Linked DNA regions of Rattus norvegicus. The protein of the gene in region 3 interacts with the protein of the main gene of each other region in a biochemical or structural test. Links are inferred from orthologs where the notes say so. Each region holds a gene or a part of one and is shown on either strand. Other genes may lie near its edges. The genes, in order: Fchsd2, Adrb1 and Magi1.

The links.
Region 1: the proteins of Magi1 (region 3) and Fchsd2 form a complex in vitro, tested with the Homo sapiens proteins (2 studies listed by BioGRID and IntAct, with this or other methods). The link is inferred for Rattus norvegicus from reciprocal best matches to the Homo sapiens genes MAGI1 and FCHSD2.
Region 2: the proteins of Magi1 (region 3) and Adrb1 interact in a test that uses a peptide from one of them, tested with the Homo sapiens proteins (2 studies listed by IntAct). The link is inferred for Rattus norvegicus from reciprocal best matches to the Homo sapiens genes MAGI1 and ADRB1.

The regions. Positions count from the first base shown.
Region 1 is NC_086019.1:165,087,320-165,090,963, reverse strand, and holds part of Fchsd2 (F-BAR and double SH3 domains protein 2), read right to left. Parts: coding exon 3,565-3,644; intron 3,475-3,564; coding exon 3,392-3,474; intron 1-3,391. UniProt on the Homo sapiens protein: Adapter protein that plays a role in endocytosis via clathrin-coated pits. Contributes to the internalization of cell surface receptors, such as integrin ITGB1 and transferrin receptor.
Region 2 is NC_086019.1:265,775,629-265,779,372, reverse strand, and holds the start of Adrb1 (beta-1 adrenergic receptor), read right to left. Parts: upstream 2,271-3,744; 5' UTR 2,016-2,270; coding exon 615-2,015; 3' UTR 1-614. UniProt on the Homo sapiens protein: Beta-adrenergic receptors mediate the catecholamine-induced activation of adenylate cyclase through the action of G proteins. This receptor binds epinephrine and norepinephrine with approximately equal affinity.
Region 3 is NC_086022.1:128,365,483-128,369,226, forward strand, and holds the start of Magi1 (membrane-associated guanylate kinase, WW and PDZ domain-containing protein 1), read right to left. Parts: upstream 2,745-3,744; 5' UTR 2,153-2,744; coding exon 1,840-2,152; intron 1-1,839. UniProt on the Homo sapiens protein: Plays a role in coupling actin fibers to cell junctions in endothelial cells, via its interaction with AMOTL2 and CDH5. May regulate acid-induced ASIC3 currents by modulating its expression at the cell surface.

The DNA.
Region 1 (3,644 bases), on a different chromosome or scaffold from region 3:
CCCTAAAGAGAGAAACTGAGGAAGATATGAGAAGATGGAAAGATCTCCTATGCTCCTGGATCAGTAGGACTGATATAATGAAAATAGCCATCTTACCAAAAGCAATCTACAGATTCCCATAAAATGCAATTCCCACAAAAATTCCAACGTAATTCTTTACAGACCTTAAGGGAGCAATTCTCAACTTCATATGGAAAAACAACAACAACAACAACAAAAACAACAACAACAACAACAACAACAACACCCCACCCAGGATAGTTAAAACAATCCTGAGAAAGAAAAGAACTTCTGGCAGTATTACCATCCCTGACATCAAGCTATACTACAGAGCAATAGTGATAAAAATTACATGGTATTAGTATAAGAGCAGGCAGGTTGATGAATGGAATCCAGTCAGAGACCCTGAAACAAATCCACACACCTATGGACACTTGACTTTTGAACAAAGGCAAAACCTTAGATGGAAAAGAGAAAGCATCTTCCACAAATGGTGCTGATCTAACTGGATGTCTCCATGTAGAAGAATGAACATAGATCCATATTTATACCATGGAGAAAACAAGTCCAAGTGGATCGAAGACCTAAACATAAACTCTAGCAGAAAAGAAAGTGGGGAATAGCCTTGAACACATTGGTACAGGAGACAACTTCCTGAACAGAACATCAATGGCTTAGGCTCTAACATTAGCAATTGATAAAAGGGACCTCATGAAACCGAAAAACTTTTGTAAGGCAAGGGCATTGTCAGTAAGACAAAATGGCAACCTACAGATTAGGGAAAGATCTTCACCAACCCTATACCCAACAGAGGGCTAATATCCAAAATATATAAAGAACTCCAGAAATTAGACAACAAACCAAACAACCCAATTATAAAGTGGGGTACAGAGCTAAACAGAGAATTCTCAATAGGGAAATCTCATATGGCAGAGAAACACTTAAATGTTCAGCATCCTTAGTCATCAGGGAAATGCAAATCAAAACGACTATGAGATTGATTCCATCTTGCACCTATTAGAAAGGCTAGGATCAAAAACTCAAGTGACAGCACATGTTGTCAAAGATGTGGAGCAAGGGGAGCACTCCTCTATTGCTGGTGGGAGTACAAACTTGTATGACCACCCTGGAAATCAAACTGGTGGTTTCTCAGAAAACTGGAAATAGTTCTACCTCAAGACCCAGCTATACCACTCCTAAGCATATACCCAAAAGATGCCCCACTACACCACAGGGACATTTGTTCACCTATGTTCATAGCAGCTTTATTCGTAATAGTCAGAAACTGGAAACAGCCTAGATGTCCCTCAACTGAAGAATGGATACAGGAACTGTGGTATATCTACATAACAGGTTACTCAGCTATTAAAAACAAAGACATCATGAATTTTACAGGCAAATGGATGGAACCTGAGAATATCATCCTGAGTGAGGTAACCCAGAGCCAGAAAGACATGCGTGGTATGTTCTCAGTTATCAGTGGACATTAGCCATGAAATGCAGGATAACCATGCTACAATCCACAGACCCAAAGAAACTGAGTAGTAAGGAGGTCCCAAGGGAAGATGCATGAATCTTACTCAAAAGGGGAAACTAAATAGTCATCAGAGGTGGATGGGAAGAGGGAATGGGTAGAAGAGGAGGGGAACAGATATGGTGATCAGGTACGGGAAGAGAAGGAGGTGGGAGATGGCTGGATTGAGAATGGAAATAGCTGAGGTTATCTCTGGTGACTCTCTGGAAGCCTGGGACAGGAGAGGATACAGGGAGTCTATGGGGCTGACTCTAGCTCAGATCCTATTAGTGGGAGATACTGAGACTGAAGTGGGTACCTCCTGTACTCAGGCAAGTCTTTCAGAGGAGGAAAGAGGACATCAACCTACCCACAAAACCTTCAACTCAAAATCCGTCTTGCTTACAAGATGTGCAGAGATAAAGATGGAGCAGAGACTGAGGGAACAGCCAGCCAATGACTGTCCCAACTTGAGACCCACACAATGAGAGAGCTAACCCGATACTGTTATTAATACGCTGCTATGCTTGCAAACAGGAACTTAGCTTAGGTATATGCTTAACTGTTGGAGAGGCTTGATCCAACATCAGATAGAGGCAGATGAGGAGATCCATAACCAAACATCAGGTGGAGCTTGGGAGTTTTGTGGAAGAGTGGGAGATACAAGTGAGCCAGAGGGGGTCAAGGGCACCACAAGAAGACCTTCAGAGTCAACTAACCTGGGACCATGGGGGCTCAGAGTCTGGGAAACCAACCAAGGAGCATGCAGGAGCTGGACCTAGAGCCCCTACACATTCATAGCAAATGTGCAGCTTGGTTTGAATGTGGGTCCCCTAAGAAGTGGCAGTCTTGGTCTCTGTTCCCTGCCATTGGATCCCCTTCTGATTACCTGGATTGCCTAGTTGGGCCTCAGTAGGAGAGGACATGTCTAGTTCTGCTGGGACCAGATGTCCTAGGGTGAGGCAGTACCCAAGGGAGGGGTTTTTCCCTTCTTGGGGCAATGGGAAAGAGACTTGTAAAGGTGGGACTAGGAAGAGAGGAAGGAGTGGGGGCTGTGACTGGGATGTGAACTGAGTTTAAAAAATGATTTTACTTTATGTGTACGTTTGTCTGTATGCAACCATATGTAATGTGCATCCCTGGCTCCCGAGAAGGGCAGACGAGAGCCTTCCGGACTTCCTGGAATTGGAGTTGCAGACAGTTGTGAGCCACACTGTATGCTGGTGCTGGAAACCAAACTCAGACCCTCTACAATAGCAGCAAGTGCTCTTAACTGCTAAGCCATCTCTCCAACACCTATGATGATGATGATGATGACGATGACGATGACCACGGCGGTGGCAGGGTCTGGCCTAGGATTTGCTATATAGCCTAGAACTCAGAGATTCACCTGCCTTTGCCTCCTGAATGCTGAGATTAAAGGTATACACCACCATATCAGCTCATTTTATAGCCTTTGTTTTCTTTCTTGTTTTCTTTCATTCTTTCTTTCCTTTAAAAAATTTATGTATATACATGCCGAATGCTGCCCCCTTCTCCTGGTAACTTGCCACAGGGTTCCTCCACCATCTTCCTCATCTCTGAGAGGGTGCCTCTCCCATACACCCTTACCTTGGTGTATCAAGTCTCTGTAGGATTAGGCATATCTTGAGGCAAGAAAAGGCAGCCCTCTACTGCATATGTACTGGGAAGCCATGGCTCAACCATTAAAGGCTGGACTCACAACCAAAAATATAGCTTTTCTTTCTTACAGTTCTTTATACTTCCCCAAAGCACTGCATGGCAGATCAATAGCAAAATGGACCATGTGGGCAAAATAAATCATTTTCAGTTTGGAAGAACTATGTAATCCATAACCCTTCAAGGTGGGAGACTTACAGGCCGCAGCTTGCCATACGAGGTGTCAGGAGTCTGTCTTGAGGCCTGTGAGAATCCTGGTGACTCAGCATGAAGGCAGTTTTCTGAGGGAGAGAATCCAAGAGGTTATGATGGGATAGTAAAGATGCCAGTGTAGAAGTAAGTGGTGAGGGGCAGCTGCCCAGAACTCTTACCATTGGCTGAAGGAGACCGGGGGAAGAACTGGGAGCTCCTCTTATCTGGACTGGGGTAAGGGCTGCTGGGAGGCTGGTCA
Region 2 (3,744 bases), on a different chromosome or scaffold from region 3:
GATTGGTCTGTTTCTCAGCCACCTTTCCCCCCTTTGCTTTAAGGAGACACCAATACTCCGGAATTAATATGCAATTTCTTTAGAAAGCAAAAGGAAACACTTCCTGGCTAATTATCACCGCTCCTGCCCCCACCCCAAACCAGAGCTGAACACTTAGGTTCCTAGGTGTGAAGTCAGAAGGCCAGGTGATAGACTCCACCCTCCCCCTTCCCCTCCCCTCCTAGTTTCCACTCGGGTCCTTGCAGAAAGTGTCAAAACCCACGGGGGGGGGGTGCCTAAAGGTGCATTAAACACACGAAAGGCCGAACCTCAGAGAGAAAGGAACTCAAGACAAGCCAGTAAGCCACACTAAGCCACACTCTCCCAACTACTCCCAAACTTTCCTTTTTGCGCAACGCTCGGTCCCGGGCTTTTCTGTACGTCTCGGATGATTCAAAAGATCTGTGGGCTTCGCATTCACCTGCTTTCGGTCTTGAGTAAACAGAAACCTCCTCTCTCCCCTGGGGAGCGGCTCAGGGGCGCCCAGGCGGGCTCTCTTCCTCTAGGGATGCAGAGCCCGTGTCCAGCCCGGGACTATGGGGAGCGGCGTCCGTGCGCCCGGAGAGCCTGGCCCTCTACACCTTGGACTCGGAGGAGAAGCCCTGGCGTCCCGGCTCGTCCAGGCTCGAATCGCTGTCCACAGTGGTCGTCCCGCCGTTGCAGCCGGCCCAGGGCTCCAACAGGCGCGCGGGTGGGGTGGCCCCGGCGTCATCGTCGTCGTCGTCCGAAGGAGCCCCGGGGGACGGCGGCGGCCCAGCTCTCGCCAGGCAGCCCGAGGCGCGCGGCCGGTCCCCGTGGGCTGCGCGGCGTCTGCAGGCGGCCCGGCGCGCGCAGCAAAGCAGGCGCTGGAAAGCCTTGCGGAAGTCGGGGCTGCGGCAGTAGATGATGGGGTTGAAGGCCGAGTTGGCGTAGCCCAGCCAGTTGAAGAAGACGAAGAGGCGATCCGGCACCAGGTCGCGGTGGAAAGCTTTCACCACGTTGGCCAGGAAGAAGGGCAGCCAGCAGAGCGTGAACACACCCATGATGATGCCCAGTGTCTTGAGCGCCTTCTGCTCTCGCAGAGCCACGAGGCGCGACGGCCGCCGCTTGCTGGAGCGCCCGTTGGCCAGCGAGTCTGCGGGGCGCGGTGGCCCTGGTGATGGCGAGGGCGCGGGCGAGGGCGGCCGGGGCGGGCCGCTGAGGAAGCGGCGCTCGCAGCTGTCGATCTTCTTCACCTGTTTCTGGGCCTCGCGGAACACCCGGAGGTACACGAAGGCCATGATGCACAGGGGCACGTAGAAGGAGACGACGGACGAGGCGATGGCGTAGGCCCGGTTGGTGACGAAATCGCAGCACTTGGGGTCGTTGTAGCAGCGGCGCGCTTCGTCGCTCTCGGCCCGCCACCAGTGCATGAGGATGGGCAGGAAGGACACCAGCGCGGAGATGGCCCACACTGTGCACACGAGGGCCCGCGCTCGCGCGCGCGTCAGCAGGCTCTGGTAGCGAAAGGGCGACGTGATGGCGAGGTAGCGGTCCAGGGCGATGACACACAGGGTCTCGATGCTGGCCGTCACACATAGCACGTCTACCGAAGTCCAGAGCTCACAGAAGAAGGAGCCGTACTCCCAGCGGCCCCACACCACAATGGTGGCCCCGAAAGGCACCACCAGCAGTCCCATGACCAGATCGGCGCTGGCCAGGGACATGATGAAGAGGTTGGTGAGCGTCTGCAGCCGCGGGGTCTTGGCGATGGCCACGATCACCAACACGTTGCCCACTACGATGAGCAGCACGATGAGCGCCAGGAGTAGGCCCATACCCGCGGTCCACTGCTGCGACAGCGGCGCTGAGCCCTCGCTGGCTGGAGGCAGCAGCGAGGCGGGAGGCGACGCGAGCACCAGCAGTCGTGCCGCGGTGGCCGCGCCGTCGGGCAGCGGCGCGGCCGACGACAGGTTGCAGGGTTCGGAGGCGCCCAGGGCGAGCGCCCCCGCGCCCATGCCGAGCTTCGGAGGCCGGGGGCGGGGGGTGTGGCGGGACTGGGCCGCGCCTGGGAAGCACCCCAGGAGCCGGGGCTGCGGGGCCCGCGCGGGGAGGTCGCGGCCAGGTCAGGGCAGCCGCGGCTTGGGGCCGGAGGCATGGACGCCGGGCGCCTTCTCCTCCGTAGCCAAGCGCTGTCGCCGCCGCCGCCGCCGCCGCTGCTGCTGGAGCCGCTGTCGCTGCTGGAAGAGCCGCCGGGACCTCAGCATGTTTCTGAGCGCGCGGGGCCGGCGGCTCCAACACCCAGCACCTCCCCCCCACCTCGCTCCCTACCCCCCAGCCAGCCCCCGGGGCCGCGCGTCAGGCTCCCGCAGCCAATCGTCGCCAAGGCACGCCCCCGAACAATGGTGTCCCCACCCCCAACACCCAGCACCCCCTCCTACCGCGATTGAAAGGCTCCAAAGATTGCGGGTGGACTACGCAGCCGGCACCCACGGGCTGCAGCGAGCGCGCCCTTTCCTGCTCAGGCTTCTTCCAGAGTCTGGTCTGCTGCGCCCTCTGCGGTGCCCCGCCGCCTCCTGTGCCCACCCCCACCGCCCAAGTGGTGTCCGCTTGCCCTAGCACCCAGCTCTCATTTTGCCGCTCCCGCAAGAGCGCCCGTTTCCCTTCGGCGCCCCGTAGCGCCCTCGCCTTTCTACCTCTAGTGCATGGTTCCTGGTAGCTAGAAGGGAAACTTGCTGGCGTTCCGGAGATGCCTTGGACAGCCTATCTGCTGGGATTGGGGAATTTAGCTGTGAGACTGGTTCTGCCATCAGGCAGCCTGGCTCTTCCCTGATCGCGAGGGGACCCGGCCAGAATGACAGCTTGGGGAATAGGAAGTGGGTGTTAGTTATTAGAGGAAACTTTGCAGCCAGGCGGATTGCTGGAGCAGAGTGCGCATCTGTCAGAAAGGCTCTCTGGGCGCTGTTCTTGCGCAGAGCTGTGCTCTCTCTCCCTCAAGTGCAGTGGATGGGGAAAGGAAGGGAAGGTTTGTGGCTGTAACTGCCAACGCCAAGGACCAGTTGGACACACACAGTTCCCAATCCCAGCTAAGGAAAAGGATGCGATGAGTTCTGAGTATAAAGGAGAAGTTTAGGGCAACATTAAGTCCGGAGTAAATGACACCGCCCCACCCCCAACCCCCACCCCGCCTAGAAAGAACTCAGAGAATGACGCTTCAGACTTTTTGACTCCAGTACCAACACCTTAACACCCGCGTTTGTACTCTGGTACCCATGGGATTTTATAATCTGAGCTGAGTCAACACAAGGTACTATCCCTTTTTGGTTGACGTCATGAACTGGGATTTCAGACTTCTTGGTAGGGTGGCTAGATTCTCAAAATTGCGGGATCAGCTTTGGGAAGAGCTTTGGGAAGCAAGAAAATATATAAATACGCGAGGCGATTAAATCGGAAAGCATTTAAAGTCACGCCGCATTTCCCCCTTCACATTGTCGAGTGAATCTGAAACTAGAGTGTTTGACTTCACTCCTGATGGAAGCTGAGGATGAACCTCAGGCTGTGGTCCTCTGATCTGCCCCCTGGGAATGCCTCCACCTCGGGCCATAAGAAGGAAATCTGCAATTAAGTTCTTGAGAAGCAAACAGTTCCCAATTGTCTCTGAAGGGAAGGGTGCACGGTCGTGTTATATAATGTTATGTAATGCTCTGGAGTCTCTCTTGCTTTGGAATAAAAAGATTAGCATCTGGG
Region 3 (3,744 bases):
CGAGTGCTCACAGGAGAGACAGAGGGTTGGGGGAAGAAGGGAAGGCGCCAGCATCAAGGATCTCTGCAAAACAGTGGAAGGAAGAGCTAAGCTTCTGGCAGCTTCTTGCCCATGGCCAACAGATCTTAGGACCCATTAACCACCACCCAGACATCCTGCTGGATGAGAAATCTTTCTGCAAAATGAGCCTGAACTCAAACCCAATGTTACCCCCCAATAAATAAATGCCTGTCACAGTATTTTCTCAACAGCCCTAACCAAGTCATTATCACCCGGGGAACTGGCACTAAATTCCTAGCTAAAAACTGAATTCCTAACTGCTTAAATTCAACTCTAATACAACATACAACCATAACTCACTTTTACTGAGCACTTACTGTGAACCAGCACTGCTGTGCACACTTCCTGGGTTACGGTCCTAGGAGAAACTCCTAAGGACATAGTCATCAGACAAGGCCAAGCAGCAAGATAAGGACATTCCACTGTTAGGTGTCAGCCTCTGCGCTCCCAACACGGTAGAAAGTCCGGGCTACTGGGCTAACCACACACAATACTGCACTCATCCTCAGGTCATCTGGAAGAGGCCTGCTGCTGGAGAGAGCTGGCTCTCCCAGGCTTTCCTTTGACACGTTTCCTTCAGCTGCTGCCATCCTGACAGGAACATATGGCAACTTTTCACCACATTCAACTCTGCCACCTCCTCTGGTGCTTTCATCTGGGAGAACCTGCGTCACAGCACTCGGGTGCAGGAGGGATGCCTTTAAGTACTGCAGCTATGCTCCGGTAGCCAGACAGAGAGCAGACCATTGCTCAGACCAAACTGCGAGGGAGTCATCAAATGCGTCTTTTAGAAAGCCATCCCTACCCTACAGACTTCTAAGAGAGGCCTTGCTTCTCCCACACACACCCCAAAACTCAGGCCCCTTAAGTCATCCCCTCAAGCCCTCCTCCTCCTCGCTCAAGGTTTAACAGAAAAGACCCATACACTTTAGTAGTTGTGTGACCTTGGGCAAGTCATTTACCTAGGTCAGCTCCGGCTTACTTTTTGTAATATAGGACTTACAAAAACAAGTCGATCTTATAGCATTGTTGTGAATCACAATGAGATAATGCAATTAAACCACTTTACAGAGAGCCTCTCATATAGCACGCTAACAATGAATTGTAATCTCTCAACAATCATCATCAATAAGGACGACAGTGCAAGGGGAGGCGGCGGCTGGGTAAACTTGGACTAGATTCGCGCCAAGAGCTAAACACCCCTTCCCCCACCGTAGGTCTCCACAAGGAGGAGACACAGACGTCACCCCGCTGTGGGGTGAATGCAGGCTCTGCAGGCGGCTAGATTAAGGACTCTAGGGGGTCATAACCCAACCTCACCTGGAGGGCTTGCAGGGTGAAGGCAATTTTGTGAAGTAAGAATTCCAGTCAACCATAAATAGACCCTCCCTTTCCACGACCCACTCTCCAGTTCAGGGAACACAAGCAATGGCAAGCCACCAGCTCGGTGAGCTCATCTATCCCATAAGGGGCTGTGGAAAGCGTCCACCTTAGCTTGCCTCAGTTACCCATCTGCCTTAAGGTGCAGACGAAGCTGCGCAGCACTAGGTGGCTACGACAAGAAGTTGGCAAACCAGGCCTGGGAAGCATCTCCCCGCTTCCCGGCGCAACCCCGGCCCCTGGCCGCCACGCAGGTGGGCGCGCAGCCCACAACCGCACAACTTTGAGTTCATCTGGCCCGGGCCTCAACTTTGGCTCACAGCACTCGGAGCAAACGGCGCCCCCTCAGGCCTCCCCTCTTCTTCGGGGTGCGCCCCCCCAAAGACACGCCCGTCTTACCTTGTCTGACGGCTTTGAAGGTGACGGCCTCCTTGCAGCTGTCGATGACTCCCAGCACGTCATAGCGGGGCAAGCCGGACACCCGGACCCCCTGCACCTCCAGCAGCAGCTCACCTTCAGCCAGCTTCGGTCCCTCGCCACCGCCGGGAAGCCCCGCCGCCTCGGCCGCCGCCACCGCCCCCACGTACGGAAACTCCCCATGCTCCGCGCCCCCCAGCACCGTCACCCCCAGCTCGCCCTGGGGTCCCCGCTTCACGGTGCATTCGTGAACGCGGCCAGTCCAGTGGTTCTTCTTCTGGATCACTTTCGACATGATGAGTTACAGCCCCTCCTCAAAAGAAAAATTAAAATTAAAGAAAAAAAAAGGAAAACTGCTAAAACGAGAGACAGGTGCCCCCACAGCACGAGCCCCCGGAGCGGCGGGCTCACGGGAGAAGCATCTCTCTCTCGGAGCGCGGGAGCGAGCTACTCGAGCCTCCTCGCCCGACTCTCTCGCGCTCTCAAGCCATCATAAAACAAACTTTCCGGGCTCCGTTGAGAGCCCTGCACAGGCGCCCGCGAGCTTTGTTTGCATTCCGGTGCCTCCGGGTCCGCGTTCCGGCGCCGATCGCGCTCCCGGGACCAGAGTCCACTCCGACGCCGCCCGGGCCCGCTCTCTGCTCCGCAGCTTTCTCCACACGCGCCGCGCCTGCTCCGCGCCCGCCGGCCGCTCCTCAGCGCGAGGGAAGCCCTTTCCAAGCTAGTTGCCGGGAGCCCTGGAGACGCGGCGGCGCGGGGCGGGGGTGAGGGGACGCGAGGGAAGTGGCCGCGGCCCCTTTAAGCAGATACAAAGGCTCTGCTTGTTTTGTTACAGTTCATTCTACTCCGCGCGGCGGAGCGCGGCGGCCGGCTGGATAGGAGGCGCGCGCGCATGCGCTCGGCGGCCGCCCGCGGGCAGGCCCGCCCCACCCCTCCTCCTGGAAGGGAGAGATTCCAACGCGCCTCCCGCGGGGTCCTAGGGCCGACCTTCCATTGACGCCAACTTGCTCCTGTATCTGCACCCCTAGAATTCCTACTTTTCCTGTGCCGTCGGCCCAGCCAGAGCCTTTTGGGGAACACGTGCGCGTGCCCCACTCCAGCTCTCGTAACGCAGGAAATGTGGCTTTGGTGCTTAACAAATCCTTTCAAACAGGTGGGGGCTGGGAGACCAATTCGGCGGGGGGCTCACACTCTTGCCTGCCAGCCAGGTTCCCTCCTCGCCCTCGGTGGCCACGCCATCTCTCTCGCGGCCCCACTGCCTTCCGCCTCATTTCCGCGCCTGCTCCCGGCCCAGGGGTTCAAGTCCACATGGCGGAGCCTGGCTCTTGTCTGTGTGACGCTGAGGACCCGAACCAGCAAGACCCACGCACCCTCTGCATTTCTCTCCGCGCCCACCGTTAAACTTTGGGGCCAACTTTTTAGGACAAGGAGAAAACTGTCGGTGAGCGAGTCTTCTACCTAAGACTTCTCATTGTCCTTCCAGCAAAGGGGCGGCAGCGGCCAGCCCCTTTTAGCTTCTGGGAGAGCCGAGAACCCTAAGGACTGCTTTGGGGAGTAAAGATCACCGCAGGGTGCGGGTCCTGCACACGTGTGGGCGCGCCGGCCACCTCGGAATTCGCCGCCCAGAGGCTGGGTGCAGTAATCAGCGCTGAAGAGGCTGGGACAGAAAGAACAGCCCCCACCGCCAAGAGGCTAGTGCAGCAGTGGCCCTAGCGGTTTCGTTTACTTTTCAGTGGTTTCCAATGAGTTCCTCTTTGGTCACAGACTTGAGAATCTACTAGATAAAGGGAGCTTAGTTGGAGCCGCTCAGAAAGGTGAGGTGGGTTGAGAGGAAAAGTCTGAAGTTCCGCAGGCATCTCAAGTACTCAAGACCTTAAGTGAACGAAC